Linked DNA regions of Rhinolophus ferrumequinum. The protein of the gene in region 1 purifies or fractionates together with the protein of each later gene. This does not show direct contact. Links are inferred from orthologs where the notes say so. Each region holds a gene or a part of one and is shown on either strand. Other genes may lie near its edges.

Evidence for each region.
Region 2: the proteins of SNAP25 (region 1) and STX12 purify together in Homo sapiens (co-immunoprecipitation; 3 studies listed by BioGRID and IntAct, with this or other methods). This does not show direct contact. The link is inferred for Rhinolophus ferrumequinum from reciprocal best matches to the Homo sapiens genes SNAP25 and STX12.

What each region holds. Positions count from the first base shown.
Region 1 is NC_046306.1:30,945,166-30,954,675, forward strand, and holds the start of SNAP25 (synaptosomal-associated protein 25), read left to right. Parts: upstream 1-4,845; 5' UTR 4,846-4,996; intron 4,997-9,510.
Region 2 is NC_046292.1:19,031,701-19,041,153, forward strand, and holds the start of STX12 (syntaxin-12), read left to right. Parts: upstream 1-5,539; 5' UTR 5,540-5,609; coding exon 5,610-5,727; intron 5,728-9,453. UniProt on the Homo sapiens protein: SNARE promoting fusion of transport vesicles with target membranes. Together with SNARE STX6, promotes movement of vesicles from endosomes to the cell membrane, and may therefore function in the endocytic recycling pathway.

The DNA.
Region 1 (9,510 bases):
GAATAAAGGAAATCAACTGATACATAAATATGCTCAGTTTGAGATGCCTTTGATCCTTCGGATAAGAGTATTCACTAAGAAGCTAGGAATATGACTCTGAAGCTCATGAGAGAATATGGGACTGTGAATATAAAATTAACAGTCATGCATACATAAATTATGGTTAAACTCAAGAGCATGGATCAGGGTTTTTAAGACAACATATGAAAGAAGGAATAGGACATTGGGTTCTCTTGATGTACCAGGGTCAGTACAGGAGTCTGGAAAATCAATCGTAATTCTCATGTATTAATTGGAATTTAAACTAATAATTACTTTTATACATACCCCAGAGTGTGAGAATAAAATGAGATCATGTGTGTGACAGTGCTTTAGAATTTGTACAGGGCTAGACGAATGTGAGCTGTTCAATATTTTCAATATTCTCTTTGGCCTAAAGCATATAAGTTTTCATGATGGAGAGTCAGGAGACGTTCTGTGGACATATGGAGCTCCCAGAGGGCTTGTGTGTGGGGCTCAGGGAAATGTCCAGCTTAACCTGCTAAGCACCACAATTTTTCTGCTTCAACCCATCTGCCATGGAAAATGAGGAACCCACAGATAAGAGAGAGAAACAGAGGTGAAGGCACATTATAGAGCACTTTAAGAAATGTAATGAATGGTACAGTGTCGGGTGAAGCCAGAGGTTCAGAAAGATGGAAGCCCATTGGATATAACCAAGAGATCACTGATGCTATCTCCTGAGGCATTAGACTGTGCCTTGCCTAGCTTGGTGCCCGCTAGCTGGAAGAACTGCACTGCCCTTTATGACCAACATGAATTGTATGGTCCCAAATATCCTTGCTCCATTCCCCAGCCATATCTTGAATTAGTCACCTCAACCCATCTCAACCTGATTTTCACAGCCAGAGTTCCTGGCCCTTGGAATAAATTCCTACTTAAGACCTCATATCATCTCCTCAAAACCAGTGGTCAATAATATTGCTGTTCTGTTCTGAATTTTGGCTGACTCTCTCAAGTATATTTTGAGTGCAAGTTCTGACCCAATTTTTATTTATGCTCTTTATTGGGTATTGATCTCTGAAATCCCTCCTTGATTGTACGTGGCACTGTTTTCCTTTGAATATGTTGCTTCTGTTTACTCCATGGAATCATCTCACCAGCCTAGATCCCTCTCTTGGAATTCACCCCAAGCAAACTTTGTGGTCAGTGATCCACAGACTCATCCCATTAGCAAATAGAACTCTAAAGCTGCCAATGAAAGAGTCATACACAAACCCCAATATGCTGAAGCAGAGAGGTTAGCTATAAAAGGAGGGTATGATAGTTAATTTTATGTCAGCTTGACTGGGCCAGATGCCCAGATATTTGGTCAAACATTATTCTAGGTATTTCTATAACAGTGTCTTTGAATGAGGTTAATATTTAAATCAGTAGATTGATTAAAGCAGATTGCGCTCCCTAATGTGATGGGCCTCATCCAATCAGCGAAAGGTCTGAATAGAACAAAAGGATTGATTCTTTCCAGAGAAAGAGAGAATTACTCTTGCCTGACTGCCTTCAAACTGGGACACTGGCTTTTTCCTGCCTTCAGGTTAAAACTGAAACAGCCACTCTTCCTGGGGCTTGAGCCTGCTGGCCTTTGGACTGGAGCTACACTATCATTAGCTCTCCTGAGTCTCCAGCTTGCTGACTCACCCTGCAGATCTTGAGATTTGTCAGTCTCCATAATCACTTGAGCCAGTTCTTTGTAATAAATCTATTTGCATATATATATATACATATATATATATATATGTATATATATATATATATACACACACATAAATATATATACACATATGGACAGAGAGAGACAGAGACAGAGACAGAGAGAGGAAGGGGAGAGAGAATGTGTACACACACACAAAAACACACACACACACACACACACACACACTTTATTGGTTCTGTTTCTCTGGACAACCCTGACTAATACAGAGGAGATGAGTCTGAAGGGGCTGAAAGAGTCTGTAAAGCATAGTGATTATGAACTTGGGCCCTGGGGTTCAAATTCCAGCTGTATCATATATTAGCTGTGCCCTTGGTAAGGTTATTTAAGCTCTCTAATCTGAATCATTTCAGAGCAAATTTTCCATCACCTTTCTTCTCTGTGGGATTTAAGCCTTTATAGACCCTGAATAACACGAATCTGCTGGTTTCCTATTATCAAGGATGACTATGGATTTTTTTTTTTTAATCAAGCAGTGAGAAAACCCTAGGGGAGAAAATTTCATTATCATATTAAAAATACATTTAAGGCTATCTTGTCGTCCTTAGTAGACTTATATTTATCCAATGTTTATGTTTCTCAAATTAGATTCCAATACCTTTCCCAGAACAAGATGGGAGAACCTCTCAAACAGTATCATTTGTAACACAAGCACAGGTGAATGGAAAACGCTGCCGCCGCCACAAGATAATCCCGTAGAGCCTGTGGTATTTTCTGTGATGCTTTGAATCAGCCTCTCTCCTCTTACCTGTAATTTCTTAAAATGTCAGTGTGGGGCATCAGCAGCTGAAAATCCAGAATACCAAGTCAGTCCTCCCCTGTGACTGCCACATAGCTTTTGCCAGCAGGAAGAGACTACATCAGTGACGTAGTTACTTTTATTTTATTGTTTTCTTTAATTCTGGAAAATCCCTCACCTCCTCCATTCCTTCACAAAACTTTCTGCTGAATGACTTTCAGTCTGAGGGCCATAAACATGTTTTATTTCTCCTCACTATAAGCTTATTCCCCCAAAACTTCCTCATGCTAAAAAAGTATCACATTAAAAAAAAAAAATCCTGACTAGAAAAGATTTTGTAGTAACCTTGCATTCGTCACCACTTCTCCCAGCCCAATTCCAGCCCAATTCCAGTGTGCTTCATAATGAAAGTAAGAAGCATCACTAGTTTTATTGGCAATTAAGTGTCTAAGAACCATGCAGATTTTCTTCTTTATTGTTTAAGAATCTTAAATGTTTAATGAATATTTAAGCAGACAAATTTCAGCAACATACCTTGTTTTAGGAAACCAGCTTTAATAAATTTCAAACACTATTTGTTAATTATTATTGAAAACAATATTTCAGAATACCCCTTGGACCATGGAATCTTTAAGAAAAAAATGACTTTCACTTATTTCAATTAAAGACTTTCTTTATTAAATTTTTATAGCTCTGCTTGCTCCAAACACCCCCTTTACAACTCTGCTTTCTCCTTTCCTTTCTTGGGTCTCTCTCTCTCTCTCTCTCTGTCTCCCCCTCCCTCCTTCCCTTTTTCACTTCCTCCCTCTTTCCTTCTCTCCATCTCCTATAGTGTGCAATTAAAAACCGAAGCTTGGTGTTCAGGCCAGCACGTGTGTGTGAGTTTGTGTGTGTGTGTGTGTGTGTGTGTGTGTGTGTGTGTGTGTGGCGGGGAGTGTGGAGTGGTGCGACGGAAGCGTGCGTTATTTTCCCGGACCAGAGACAAGGATTTTCCATCACCTAAAAGAGGCCATCAAGTTTCAATATTTCGAGGCACGACTTCTCATCACATCCTTTCCGGAAAAGTACAAACAGTTCTTCAGCGGAGGTCCCCCACCTCCTACGCGCTTCCCAGTTCGCCCTCCCCTCGGAGCCCCGCTCCAGCCTCCCAAACACCTGTGATTCATCCGAGAGGCTGCCACCGCAGAACCATTTGCATACCTCCCCTCCCCGGGCGCACAATACACAGTAAAGAAGGACAGTTAGGATTATTGCTTTACGATTATTATTTTTAATCTGTCATATGACCTGCACAAGTACCCTTTCTCGCCCACACCCTGTTTTGGGCTGGCAACCAAGCCAGCCTCGACTGGTACCCAGGGTTTGCGCACTGAATGGACCACCAGAATTTGTAGCGTCCGGGAGATCCTCGGACCCGCAGCCCTTCGCATTCCCCCAGAAAGTCTGGACGGTTCTATAAGGCGTGTGCGCGCCTCTGTGGACTATTTGTAAGAAATCCATCATAAAACCCCAGGCTTCGAGGACAAATTCAACCGAAAACAGCGTCATCTATTTTGCCCTCCGCAAACAACTCTCATTTCTAAGCCTTGAACTCCAGCAAACCCACGCTGTTTGGGTTAACTACCCTTCCGTTCTCTCCCCCCTAACTCATTTCATATCTCTCAGCGATAATTGCTCTGACGTACTTTAAAATAACGTGTGCGAGTCTCTCTCTCCAGCTGACCACATTAATGCGAATTGCAAGCCCTCGATGCTGCTTTAATAAAATGAAGCAATCACTCATAAAAATAGCAACCCACGTAGTCTGTCCATATATGGAGCTGGTGAGGGTGGATAGGGATGCCCCTTCCGACCCTCTCTCTTCTTCAGAAAAAAATAAATTACAGCTGAAATCTCCACCCCGCCCCCCCCCCCCCCCCCCCCCGCCTTCTACTCCTCTGCCTTCCCCTCTCTTTCAATGACTCAACTAAACACTCAACTCAGCAGGGGAAATTTTATATATGTATATACAATCCATATATATCATATACTTACAGTACATATATATCATGCACACACACATACATATATATACATACGTACACATATGCAAATAAAGAATATCAGAAAACCAGCCGTGAGACAAATGTGTTTGCCCGAGACCGGATGTTAAAATGGAGTTAGAAGACTCGTCCCTTTCGGGTGTTCATAAAAGGCTAAAATACAAAGGTTTGCAGCAAAGCGCACCTCTCCTCCCACTCCCAGACGCCGGCCTCCTTCAGCCCTCCCCCACGGCACACTTCTCCCCGCCCCTCCAGGACACAGCTATTAAAAGCTGCTGACGTCAAAAGGGACGGCCATCTTTGATGAGGGCACAGCTCACGTTGCATTGAAGACGAAACCTCGGGGAGGTCAGGCGCTGTCTTTCCTTCCCTCCCTGCTCGGCGGCTCCTCCACACTCGCAACCTGCAGGGGCCGGGCGAACACCACCCTCTGGAGAAGCTAAGGTAAGGGCCCCACTCCCCAGGTCGTGGTTCTGGATCTGGATGACTGTATACCCGGAGGGGAGCACAGCTGGGCAGACCAAGTGAGCTTGGGCAAATACAAGAATTTGTGCACCTAGGGTGCGGTATTCAGTACGTGCGCGTCTGGCTAGACTCCCGCCTGGGGCTTTAGAAAGTATATTCGAGGTGAGCTGCTTGGGGAAGGGATGAATGGGGACCCTGCAGATGGAGCGATTGGGAGGAAGCGCAAGGAAGGATACGTACTGAATAATAACTTACTCTTTGGAAACTGTAGTGGGATCCTCTCTTCCATTTTGCGATGCAGTTTTCAGAGATGTTTAGGCTGCTTTTTTTTTTTCTGTAGACCGAAATAAGCCAACTCTGTCGTTCTGCTCCTATTATTATGACTGTTGACGTTAGGGCGCTATTACCCAGGGAAGAATTGGGGAGAAGGCAGGGTGTCGGCACTGGGGAGGCGAAAGGAGAAGGGGTTGTTCCCGCCTCGGGCAAGCTGGGCCGCAGAAGCGACAGCAGCCTCCATGCCCCACAGACTTGATTTATGCCGCCTGCTCCACGTCAACTGCAGGCTGGCGGGAGGCGGGCGGATCGTGCTGGGTGGGAGGGCTCTGCGGAGAGCTGGCGGAGGTGGTCTCGCCTTAGGGACTGCGGCGAACCGCACTCAGCACCCTGGACAGCAATACCGAGGGGCCGCACTGACACCCTCAATCTTTCAGCACGGCGGACAGCGGTCCGGCCGCGGCGTTGCATCTGTGGCAGAGATTCCTGACCAGGGCTAGATGTTCCGGGGCTGGAGGCCAAATTGCATCTCTGAGACCCTGGTCTCACAGAGACCCCTAACAGAGCAGACATAGAAGGAAGGAAGGAAAGAAGGGAGGAAGGAAGGAAGGAAAAGAAAAAAGGAAGGAAGGGAGGAAGGGGAGAAAAGAAAAGAAAAATAAATCCTACCCATAGGGACTCCTTTGCTGGCAATTGCCTGCTCCCATCCTGTCAGCTCCAGCAAAGCTTTAAAAAAAGTAGTAGTCTACTTGTAGAAATTTTCTGTGTTGCCCCTTCCCTTATTTTGCTAAGAAATAAACATATTTTGAAAAGATATGCATTTATTCTTGAGTCGGATATCAAGGGTTTTGTTTATTTTTGTTTTTAGCACATTGTAGATCTATCTACAGATCTTAGGTGGGCATGAGTGAGGTATATATGAAGATGCCATATGATTTGTTTATAAGAATTATATTTCTCCATATATATTTCTGTTTGATAAAAATAATGGGGTAGTTGAACTAAGCAGAATCAACTTTAAGAATGAACCCCTCTTCTTCTTCCTTCTCTTCCATCCTTGTAATTACGCATGAACCCAAGCACATCCCCACAAAAAAGACATTTCTACAAATTACAGGTCTTATGGGATGTAAATTTACTCTTTTTGGCTGTGGTTTCAGAGTGAGTGAAAGTAATTTCCACAGACATTGGTTATCTCAGTGATAGTTTCTGATTTGACAACTAAGACTGGTTTTCCTCAGGTGAACCCAACTATGTCCTTCAGGGTAATGCTGGTGAAAGGACCGTGGTGTTAGACTGAAACTGGACTCTGACATAAAGATCTACTGCAATTTCTATTACGGCACTGCGGGATTTTGCTGAGGTGGTGATAAGTAATTTAACCATTTTTTACTCTGAGACTTGGAGCCTCTCAGTGAACAAATTATCACAGGATATTTCCAGCCATTTGATATAGATAAAATTTGCATTAAAATACCAGAAGCAAAATTGTACTATTTGAGTAGTGTTAAATAAGAGTAACAGTGCCATATGTAAGAATATATACAACGTGTTGAAGAAATACTATCATGGTCCCCTGAAAAGCCTCAAAATAAGATCTTGGATTGTGTTTAGTTAGTCATAGCTCCAATCATTTACATACTAGAGGTGCTAAAATGCCCTGTCCACATAGACAGGGTACTTTCATTCCCAGCCATTGATTTTCGAAGGTTTTCAGTTTTATGGATAACCATGTGTTTCCACATAAATATATATCGATTTGTTGTTGTATGTGATGTAAAATTATTATTCAAGAGTATGGAACTGCATGGAAGAATTTTATAACTGTAATCTGCAGATGAAATAAACAACTGTGTTTTAGTGATGGGGAGAGGGGAGAAAAGATGGGTAGGAGTCTTCAAAAAGGCTTTGACTTTATGCTACATGTCCAGACAACTCTCTGCGTAGTTGCGTCAAATGAAAAAGCCTAGCACTGCTGGCATTACGTGCTTGGACATTAGTAATTACTGCTGGGTTTGTTTGCTGGTGGAAGACTGGAGTGGGGGGTGTGGAGGTAGAAGACTGCAGTGAAGCTGGCAAAGGGCACAGATCTGGGAGGAAGTGGCGATGTGCAAAATTATGGAGCTAATTCTGGAATAGCTTACTGAGAAATTAAAGGAAAAGATATTGAAGCATGAATTTAACATTTACTTTATTGATAAGCTTCAGGAAAAATGAAGAGACGTCCTATTTTAAATTTTAAAAATTCAGGGCAATACAGTGAGAAGGGGCAGGAGCAGATGGCCATAGGGATGCATCAGGAAACATTCCCACAGACCCTCTAATAGTACCTGCTTATTTGCTCACTGGCATTTTCTGAATTACCACCTTGACACTCAGAATACAAAACACTTTATAATTTTCTTAACCTCTCCATGTAAAATCTCCCAAGAATTCACAATTTTATTTTTACTTTGTTATAAACATGCACACCCACACATGCACAAACACAGTACAAGCTGCCCCTAATTAGCTTGTCTAAAGACATTCTTAAGCTCTAAGTGTTCACCCAAGTGATGGTTATCAACCAGCTGATGTTTCTGCCAGTAGCACCTCTTCCTGTAGCAGCTGGTCTTCAAGCAGAACATGTAGACTTTGATGATTAGTGGAAATGAGAGATAATTTGAGAAAAAGGTTGAGAGAGAAGGCATAAAGGATAAAATAGATAAATCTGCTTTTTAGACGGTGCATTAGGAATAAACTGTTTTTCTCACATTATGGAACTGCTTTACAATACTATAAAGATAAGAAAATTGGTGTTTTCAGCCTCAGTGCTAGATATGTTTCTGCAGTGTCATACCTTGTCAGCAGGGACCGACCTGATAGGAGGATATTGATCAATCAATCAGTGAGCACCAGATACATAAATGAACCCCGTGGAGGATATAAAGCCTCATGCTTAGATGGTCTTTGACCTCAATAAGTTTAGCTCTTGTAATCTTAAGGAAAACAATAAATAACAGAAATTAATAAATAATACCAGAATGAAAATGCAATAAAACAGTAGAAGAAAAATCACGAGAGAGTATATCATTATTTGCCAGTGAACATGACCAAAAGTAAGAAATGTAAATTCTGAGGGCCGCAATAATGCAGTATGATCTGAGAGTTAGGACTTGAGCTGGCTTTTTGGAGATTACAATGAGGTGAGGGAGGTATTCTACAACTAAGTACAAGTTACGGCATAGGCAGAACTACAAGTTAGGTAAGCCCAAGTTATGGTCAGCGAACCCAAAAAACGTTCATCCATTTGGAAGGAGTGTGAAGCTTGTACAGGGGAATATGTTGGAATGAAGAGTTGGAGCCTTCTGTGGAAGGCTTTGAATGCCAAGCTGAGGATTTGGTACTTTGTCCTCTACAGTTGATTTCTGAGCAGAAGCTGACATAACAAAGTAATCAGCTCCTTTTTAATATCTAGGAATTGCTATTGACAGAGTGGATTGAATTTGCATTCTTCCAGAAATAGAGGGCTGCAATTGATATCATAAGGGATGATTAATTTTTAAAAAGAATCAGTCCTCATTCAGGCATCTTTTATGATCACTCTTCAGGATACAGATAGATTTGTAAGTCTTGCCCAGAAGTTAATTGTAAGTTTCAATTTTCCATTACTGATTAAAACAAATTGTTCAAGACGAGCACTTACCAGAGAGATTGAAAAGTGGGTGAGGAATCTGGTGATGCGAGGTGCCCAGAGCATACACTTGAATAATAAACATGTGTACCCGTCTCTTGCACCCTCTGAGTAGTCTGCATTGTCAAATACACTGGCTGGAAAGATTTTTTTTAAAAAAATACCAGTTTTTCTGTGCATGTTTCATGCAATATGACACATAGAATAAGCCCCAAGTCGCTAAAAGTGAAAAAAAAACAAAAAAGATGCTGTGGTGAAAAATTTGGAAAACTAAGGTGAGGTGGGCATTATATCCTATTTTTCCCCCGACTATCATTGGTGACTTTGGCTGGTTACTCTCATTTAAGGGCTAGTTTAAACTATACCCTCTTCTTTTTTAATCTTGTACTCTCTCAGCAGAGCTTTAAAATTCCAAATGCTGACAGAACTGCTGAACCAAAATAGTTAATGGCTTTGTGTGGAGGAAGAAATAGCAACTGCAGAGATAAATCTTGTTGCTATTTCCATTCTGGCTCTGAAGTGTCAAGGGACTATCCTCATGTGTTCT
Region 2 (9,453 bases), on another chromosome or scaffold:
TTGCATTGATGTTGCTAAACTTTTTTGATATCGGAGGGATTATTCATTATGAATTTGTACCAACTGGACAGTTAACCGACTTTACTATTTGGAAGTGCTGAAAAGGCTGTGTGAAAAAGTTAGATGACCTGAACTTTTCGCCAACAATTCATGGCTCTTGCATCACGACAATGCACCAGCTCACACGGCACTGTCTGTGAGGGAGTTTTGAGCCAGTAAACAAACAACTGTATCGGAACACCCTTCCCACTCACCTGATCTGGCCCCAATGACTTCTTTCTTTGCCTGAAGATAAAGGAAATATTGAAAGGAAGACATTTTGATGACATTCAGGACATCAAGGGTAATATGATGACAGCTCTCCATTCCAAAAAGAGTTCCAAAATTGCTTTGAAGAGTGGACTAGCTGCTGGCGTTGGTGCATAGCTTCCCAAGGGGAGTACTTCGAAGGTGACCATAGTGATATTCAGCAATGAGGTATGCAGCACTTTTTCTAGGAGGAGTTCGTGAACTTAATTGTCTGCCTCCTATGTTCACTTGTTTTTTGCTTTCAGTGTCATTCTATCCCGTCAACAGAACACTCATGCAACCCACAACTTTGTATCTTTTTTTTTCAACTCCGTATTACCTACCTCCTGCATGCCACTTCATCGCATTGATCTTTAGAGTGACATCTTTTTAAAGGTTTAGTAAGATATATTTGAATACAGTAAAATTTACTATTCTTAGTTATAGATCAAAGAGTTTTGATGGATGTATGCATTTGTGTAATGACGACAATCAAGATAAAGAACATTTCCATTAATCCAAAAACTTCCCTTGTGCTCCTTGGCAGTCAATCCCCTCCCCCAACTCCAGCCCTTGGTAAGCATCAATCTGACTTCTATCCCTATAGTTTTGCCTTTTGAGAATGTCCTATAAATGGAGTCATTCAGTATGTAGCTGTTTGTGTCTGGCATCTTTCATTTAGCATATGCTTTTGAGATTCATCCATGCTGTTGCATGTCCCAGTAATTTAGTCTGTATTTCAGTAGTTTGTTCTTTTTTATAACTGAATAATTTTCCATTGTATGGATGTATCACAGTTTATCTATTCAGCAGCTGCTAGACATATTTAAATTATTTCCAGTTTGGGGTTACTATGAATAAAGCTACCCTACACAGTTGCATGTAGGTCTTTATATGAACGTGTGTTTTCATTTCTTTTGGGTAAATACCTAGGAGTGGGATGGTTGGATTGCTGGATTGTATGGTAAATTTATGTTTAATTCTCTAAGAAACTGCCAAAATGTTTTCCAAAGTGGTTGTACAATTTTTCATTCCCACTAGCAATGTATAATAAGTGCTAATTTTTTTAGACCTGGATTTTATTTTATTTTATTTATTTATTTATTTATTTATTTTTTAATTGGGGAAGGGGAACAGGACTTTATTGGGGAACAGTATGTATTTCCAGGACTTTTATTGGGGAACAGTGTGGTTTTTTCAAGGCCCATCAGCTCCAAGTCAAGTTGTCCTTTCAATCTTAGTTGTGGAGGGCGTAGCTGAGCTCCAAATCCAGTTGCCGTTTTCTTTTTTTTTTTTTCCAATCTAGCTGGGTGGGGGGAGGGGGGCGGCGCTCAGCCCACCATCCCTTGCAAGAGTCGAACTGGCAACCTTGCTGTTGAGAGCATGTGCTCTTAACCAGCTGAGCCATCCAGCCACCCGGAAGCTCAGCGGCAGCTCGTTCTCTTCACTCGAGTTGTTGTGGAGGGCACAACTCACTGGCACATGTGGGAATCGAACCAGCAAGTCTGTTGCTCAGAGCTCGCACTCTAACCAACTGAGCCATCTGGCCGCCCCCTAATTTATTTTTAATTGTAGTTGACATGAGCTCTAATTTTAATGCAGTCTTCTTTGCAACCTAAGTGAATTTCTCCATTGACCCTTCCCTACCTTTCCGCAGAAAGCTTGCCATGTTGGTTATAATGGTACTTTGTACTTAAAAGGTAAAACTTATTTACTGAAGTATAGCATACATACAGAAGTGGGCATTCATCACACATATCTGACTTGATGAATTTTCACAAAGTAAACACACCTAGACGATCACCACCCAGATCAAGTAAGGCTGCTACGAGCTTCCTACAAGTCTACCTCATGGGCCCATTCCTAGTCATCCCCTTTCCACCCCGGAACTAACTACATGCTGTTCTGACTTTTAATAATCTAGATTAATTTGGCTGGGTTTGAACCTAATAAAAAAAGGGATCATACAGGATATACTCATTTTTGTCTGGCTTCCTTTGCTGTACGTTATATTTGGATGAGATCACCCACATCATTCACATAGCAGCAGGCCATTTAATTTTATGCTCTATAGTACTACAATTTATCCATTCTGCTGATGGACAGTTGTTTCCAGTTGGAACTAGTAAAAAAAGAAATCCTGCTCTGGCCTTCTTCGTGCCTCAGACTGGAAACAATTTGAATGTCCATCCATAAGAAAGTGAATAATCAAATTGATAAAATACTATTTAGCAATAAAAAGGATCAAACCACTGATATATGCAGCATCATGGATAAATCTCAAAAAACATCCTTAATTCAAACAAGCCAAACACTAAAGGATACATAAAATATGATTTCATCACTCTGAAGTCCAAGAATAGTCAAAACTAATCTGTAGTGATGAAAATCAGAAAGTGATTTCTGTGGATAAGTGGAATTAATTAGAAAGAGCATAGTTCGAGGAAACTTGCTGGGGTGATGATGAAAATGTTCTATATCCTGGTTTGGGTGGTAGTAACCTGGGTATGTACAAGTGTCAAACAAAATTCATTGACTTGAGGGGTGGCCGGATGGTTCAGTTGGTTAGAGCACCGGCTCTTAACAACAGGGTTGCGGGTTCAATTCCCACATGGGCCAGGGAGCTGCGCTCTCCACAACTAGATTGAAGACAACGACTTGGAACTGATGGGCTCTGGAAAAACACACTGTTCCCCAATATTCCCCAATAAAAAGTAAAAAAAAAATTCATTGACTTGAACACTTCCTATCTATACATTCTATTGTATGTCAATTATGACTCAATAAAAATTAATACAGAAAAATGCCATTTAGTCCTAAAAAATGCTATTATGAACATTCCTATATTTGGTTTTCGGAACACATATGTGTGCATATCTGTTGATTATATAGTTAGGACTAGAATTGTTGAGTCATAGAATACGTGTGAATCACAGCTCTGTAGCTTCATATCTGTATCACATTGAGCAAGTATCCAGAACCTCTACAGAACACAAGTTTCCTTATCTGTTACCAAGGAATTAATCTCACCTTTATGGTGCAAACCATGAAAACTGTTTTTGTCAATTAACAAAAGGACATAATGCTGAGAAACTTTATTCTCTAAAACCACAGATTTTCAGAAAATGTGCTAATTGAAATATCAATAAGAATTGAATATTCCACTCGACTGGAGAATCTGAGTTACTCTGACACAGAGAAACAGCCTCAGTTTTCCAACCCAGATGCAAACCTTCAGATAAGGGCTTTCCAGGTACAACATTCCACGTTAATCTTCATGTTGTAGTTTCCAAGGAAACAGGATTTTGAGTCCTCTTATCAGCTCAGGCCTGATGAGAATCCCTTTACACATAGCCTGGTGTGCTTTGAGGCTATATCAAAACACCACATCTTTTCTCCAAATCCTAGAATAACTATCTCTTTCTGTGCTTGGCGGGATGCCCCATGATTCCTCTGGTGTGCAGTCTGCCTTGCAGCATTAAGTTAATAAACCTAACTTTGTCAGACCACAGGTGGTCTTTATCACATGGGCTTTATCTTGGGGATTACTGATAAATGTTTGTACAATTTGTTCACATTGCCTGGATAGGCATTTAAGAAATGGTAGTTATTTTTAATTATTCATCTATAAATCCGGTAAATGTTCATTTGACATCTAGTATTTGCAAGGTACAAATGTATTGCTATGAGAGATAGCATAAGGCACAGCCATCTTTTAAAATTAAAGTGGTTTAAAATTAAAACCACTTTTAATTTTAGGTGGAGAAAGAAAACAACAATAACCAATGTCTTCAGTTGCTAGGAGAAAAATACCTTTACTGAACTTCACTTTGCATAGAGTGAAATGTAAATGAAAACATTCTCAAGACTATTTTAGAGGTGAAAAAAAAGTACAATTTACATAATTTGCTGTAAGATTTGACATAAAACTATGGATTCTGAGAAATGGTAGGGTTTTAACCAGAATGAGAGCCCCCAAATGTCATCTGCCTCTTTTTATAGAGGAAAGAAAAATGCTCTTATAAATGCTCCAACGAAAAATAGAGATCGACTGGCTTATAAAAGCTCTAAAGCTGAAAGCAGGCTCATTCAACCATTTGGGGTCCCCTCCCACACAGGCAAGCAGCTTCCTCTCTTTACCATTCCCCAGAGATTACAAAGCAGGCTGGGCTGGGGTGGAGAACACAAGAAACAAACCTTGCCAGTTCCCCTTCACTTCTCCCTGTCTTGATCTCCCAAACTCATGTCTTTCCATTTACCATAAGCTCACAAAATGCAGTCTTCTGTGGGAACACTGAGGTCATATGCTCCAAATTACTTAAGGAAATTATTTTAAAAATTCGAGGGTCTAGTTCTCCAAGAAATCCTGGTTTGGGATATAAATGAAAACGTTATTTGGGAGGGATTTAGATGGAGAATGAATTTTGGAATATGAGAATGGGTTTTAGGAAAGTAGGGAGATGATGATGCAGTTAGCTTAGTGTTTGGGTTTTGCAGTCAGAAAAGCAAACTAACCTCTGTGGGCTTAATTTTTTCAATTGTAAAAGGAAAAATAATAACGCTTCCTTTGGTCAGTTACTTTATTTCAACATTTAAAAAATCGATTGTTCATTATCTATTCTGAAGGCAAAAATATAGTTAGGACATGGTCCCCTTGCTGTGAAAGAGCTTATGAACAATTGAATTGCAGTGAGGATTCACACATAGTACGTGATAAATCTTCTTATTATTTTATTGTTTGATTAGAAGAGGGGTGGAGGGAGAAATGAAAGTGGTTTGTAAATCGTAAAAGTGCTCCGCTACTAACAAAGCGGTAGGTAAACGAAGTACAGTGAGGAATTTCAGAAATTTGGTTACGGATCTGAGTTTCAACGTTATCATATACTCCCATATTTGGGCCTGAATTCTCAGAATAGAACAGAATAGGATGTTAAGGCTGAGATCATCTGGTACAATTTTATGCTAATCGAAAATTCTTGCCTCCTGTCACCGAGTCCTGGCGAGAAACAACACAGCCACCCCAGCTCCACCAATCCCAGCTTCAACGGTGTGACGTCATCGCCCCGCCCCGCATTCCCAAGGCCCAGGGCGTCCAGTCTCTAAGCTACCGTCTCTGGTCCCAGCGGCAGCGGCGCATGCGCACTGTGGGGCAGGGCGGGGAGGACGCGTGCGCGCTGCGTGGGGGCGGTGCTAGTGCGCACGCAGCCTCGGCCCCGTCCCTGCCCTTTTTCTTCCCGGTTTCTCCGTCACTCTGCGGTCCGGTTTGGTAGCTGCTTCCGGTAGGACCCCGGTGCAGGGCGAGTCGGTCTCAGCTGTTCGTCATGTCCTACGGTCCCTTAGACATGTACCGGAACCCGGGGCCCTCGGGCCCCCAGCGCCGGGACTTCAGCAGCATCATCCAGACTTGCAGCGGCAACATCCAGCGGATCAGCCAAGCCAGTGAGCCTGGGGACGGAGCTGGGGGGCGGGGGCCGTCCTGGGGACAGGCCTGGATGAGGCTGCCGGGACGCGGAGCCCGGCTGGGGCTGCGGCCAAGGCCACACCTGAGGCCTTCTCAGCCTTTCCAGTCTGGAGGCGGCGAGCTGCCATCCCGGAGTCTGTCAGGGCCGGGCTCCCCCGAGGGTTCCGAGCCCCGGCTGGAAGCTCGAGTCTCGTCTTAGGAGTTATGCCCTCACGGTGTTGGGGCATAAGAGCAGTGCTGACAGCCCCAGGTGGGTGGGGGTATGTGTGTCACCCCGAGAGCAGTCAGTAAGTTGACTTGGCGCAGTGGTCAGCCGAGTATTTCCTGTCATCTGCCTCCTCCCACCCCCGGCCCCACCTCTCTTTCCTCTTTGGCCAGTTTGCATCGGGAGTTGTTTACTGTTTGAGACTTTAGGTTTACATTCTGCTCAGTTTCTGGCTCCTTGGAAATCAGCAGCTTTCAATTAAGGGAAGTGGAGCATGGATGTGTTTGGATGACTTAATACACAGTTCTTCCTTTAATGAATTTGGAAATCAGATACAGTGATTTGTATTTGAGGAGTAAGATGACTTCTGTTTTAATAAAGAGAATTCACCGAAAACATTTCAATTTACATTATTTTGTCTCTTGTAACAAAATATCTGCATATATTTTTGGTTTTCAAGCTGATGGAGCTTTTGTTTTCCTTTCCTATTTAGCTGCTCTTGAACACATGTGATACAGAGAAGCTCAGGGACTTGGCCACAATCACATAGCAAGTAAGACGTAGTAGAGCTGGTGGTGGATTTCAGGATGTCATTGCTTGTCTTAAAATTCTGTCCCCACCAGTAGGGTCTGAGTGAGACTGGCTGAGTGAGTCAAATACAGGCTGTTTCTTTTGCCTGGAAATCAGCTCAGAGCCTTATCAGCAGGAGGTCAGCAGCAGCTTTACTTGGAAAAAACGGTCACCATCGTTCATGTTGTTTATTGTTGTGTTTTTGTGTACTTGGCTGTACTTTGTGACTAGGTAGACCTAGTTGGTCTTGAATTACAATTACGTTCTATATTTTAAAAAACAATCTTATCACTTTGCTTTTAAATTTAAATACTCTTATATGATGTAGAATTTGAGCAGCCGGAAGTTTCTGATGGGAGGGGATTGAGACTGGGTGATTTGAAAGTGGAAAGAAGAATATGTGGCCTGTTAAATCCAGAAATTAAAAAAAATAATATGACTACTGGTTAGAAAATACAATACTTTGTGTTCCAGTTATTTTCGTGTGTGTGAGGGAGCTATAATATATGTTAGATCAGAAAATTGAAGTTCAAGGCTAGAAGTTCTTTTGAGGCTAAATCTTATTTTAATGTCTATTTGTGAAATCATTCTACATATATTTGAGTATCAGGCTATGTAGTAAGTAGTATTGAAACTGCATGGATTGTTTCAAAAGGGTTTCTGTGGAGTACATAATAACTGAAATATAAAGTTAAAAGGGAGCAATGCTATAGAAGAGATATAAACAACATGTAGGTATTCGGGGGAGATAGAGATCATTTTCAGTTGGGAAGGGTCAAGGAAGGCATTATGGCATTTGAGCTAGGGCTGGAAAGATGCTGGGAAGGATTTGAATTTTTGAGGGTAAAGAACAGAAGAGCATTCCAGGAAGGAATAAAACGAACAAGGCCTGGTAGTGGGAAAGCATCGGGTATTATACAAAAGTAGAGTGATTTAATTTGGCTACAGTGGTGGACTTCAGAAAGTAATGGAAGAAGATAGGGTTAGAAAGGTAAGTTGGGGCCCAAACAGGATGGACTTTAAGTGCTAAACTAAAGGGGTTTGGATTTAATTCTTTAGGAATGTGTAAATTGAATTGGGAGAGAGACACTATAATCAGAGACACCAGTGAGGGACTGTGAAAATAAAAAGGAAGGAAAGGATTGGAGAGGTTTCTTTGTTGATAGAATTGATAAAATGTAACTGTTAAGTGGGCATTGGGCTCAAGGGATCATTGGAGTCAAGTGAGTTGACTTGGTGCAGTGGTCAGAGGAGTATTTCCTGTCATCTGTCTCCCCCGCCCCTTTGGCCAGTTTGCATCGGGTGTTGTTACATAATGTTAAGAACATTAATGTGGGTCCATACTGTGTGCCAGGCAGCATGAAAAATTATTTGCATGCATTACCTGACTTAATTTTCTAACAACCTTGCAAAGTAATTACCAATATTATTTCCATTGTGTAGGTTAGGAAACAGACTGAGAAAGGTTAAGTACTTACCCTGCTAACAAATGGCAATACCTGAATTTGAAACCACATCTCTTATGATCAGCAATTAACCTTTTTATAATTTTTAATGAGTATTACACATTTGTAGCAGTTACAAGTGTGTTGTTTTTTTTACTCTCCGTAGGAAACTATGAGGAATACCTGAGGCCGTCAAACTTTGTCCTCTTGTGGTGTGTCTGCCTCCCCTGTTTGATTGTTAGTTCTTCTGAAGCATGGGACATGACTTAACTCATCTTTATATTTCTAGTACTTATGTCAGTCCAAACATATGATAGATTTATTCATTCACTGTTCAGCAAATATTCTTTGAGCACCTGCTATGCACTGGTGGAGAAACAAGACAAAGAACAAGACAGACAAAATCCCTTCCCTGATCGTGTGTGTCTGTGTGTGTGTGTGTATATATATGCACACATGCAAATACTATGTAGTAAATCAGTACTATGAAGAAATAAAATAGGGCAAAGAGATAGAGAGACGAGAGAGAGGGTGGGTGTGCTCTTTTAGATAAGTTGGCCAAGGAAGGCCTCGCTGAGGAGGTGACATTTGAGGAGACACTGAATGACGGGAGGGAGAGAGCCAGGTGAGTAGCCGGGGGACGGCGTTCTAGGCAGAGGGACTAGCAGGAGCAAAGACCTTGGTGTGTTCTAAGAATGGCAAGAAGGCTAGTGTGGCTGGAGTGCAGTTAGAGAAACGGAGCACAGGAAGAAAATAGGTCTGGGAGGTAGTCAGGGATCATATCATAGAGGGGCGTGATGCTTAATAAATTGTATTGAGTAGATTTGAAGGAATGAGGTTTTTCTACCACCTTGGAACACTTCCTGCCTCATTCTCCTTGAACGGTGTGGTACCTACCACATCTTACTGACCCTAGGCAGTGTTGGAATTCTTCCTTTGGGATTGTTTGGTGAGGAACTGGGGATTTGAAATTGGTAGGGTGACACTGCTTCTACCCAGTCAGCACGATGAGGCGAGTGCCTGTTGCCCAGACCTCTCCAAGACGTGGCCGGCATAAAGTACACAGTCGGAATGTGAGCGCAGACATATATCCACATCCTTCCAGCCCGGCCAGGACCTGTACCCACTGAGAATTTAGAGAATAGCTATTCTTTTTCCCTAACTGTTCAGCCACGTACGTGGGTTTGGAATTGCTGAGCATATCTGGCTGAAATACAGCAGGTCATTGTGTGGGTTGACAGGTACAGCTAAGGTTGACTGCCCGGTTATAAAGGTTTGTTATCAGTAGGTGTGAGGTACAGAGGAAAAGTACTTGACTCTGCCTGTTGTGGAACGAAGGGTCTGGGCAGGTATTCCCGAGGCAAATAAAGGAAAAAACTGAATAGCCTCTAAGTGATCTCTGAAAAGATTAAAGAACAGCATTTCTGTTCCTTCATGTTGCTAATTTATTGATATTGTTTTGTTTACCAAAAAATGAAAAAGCA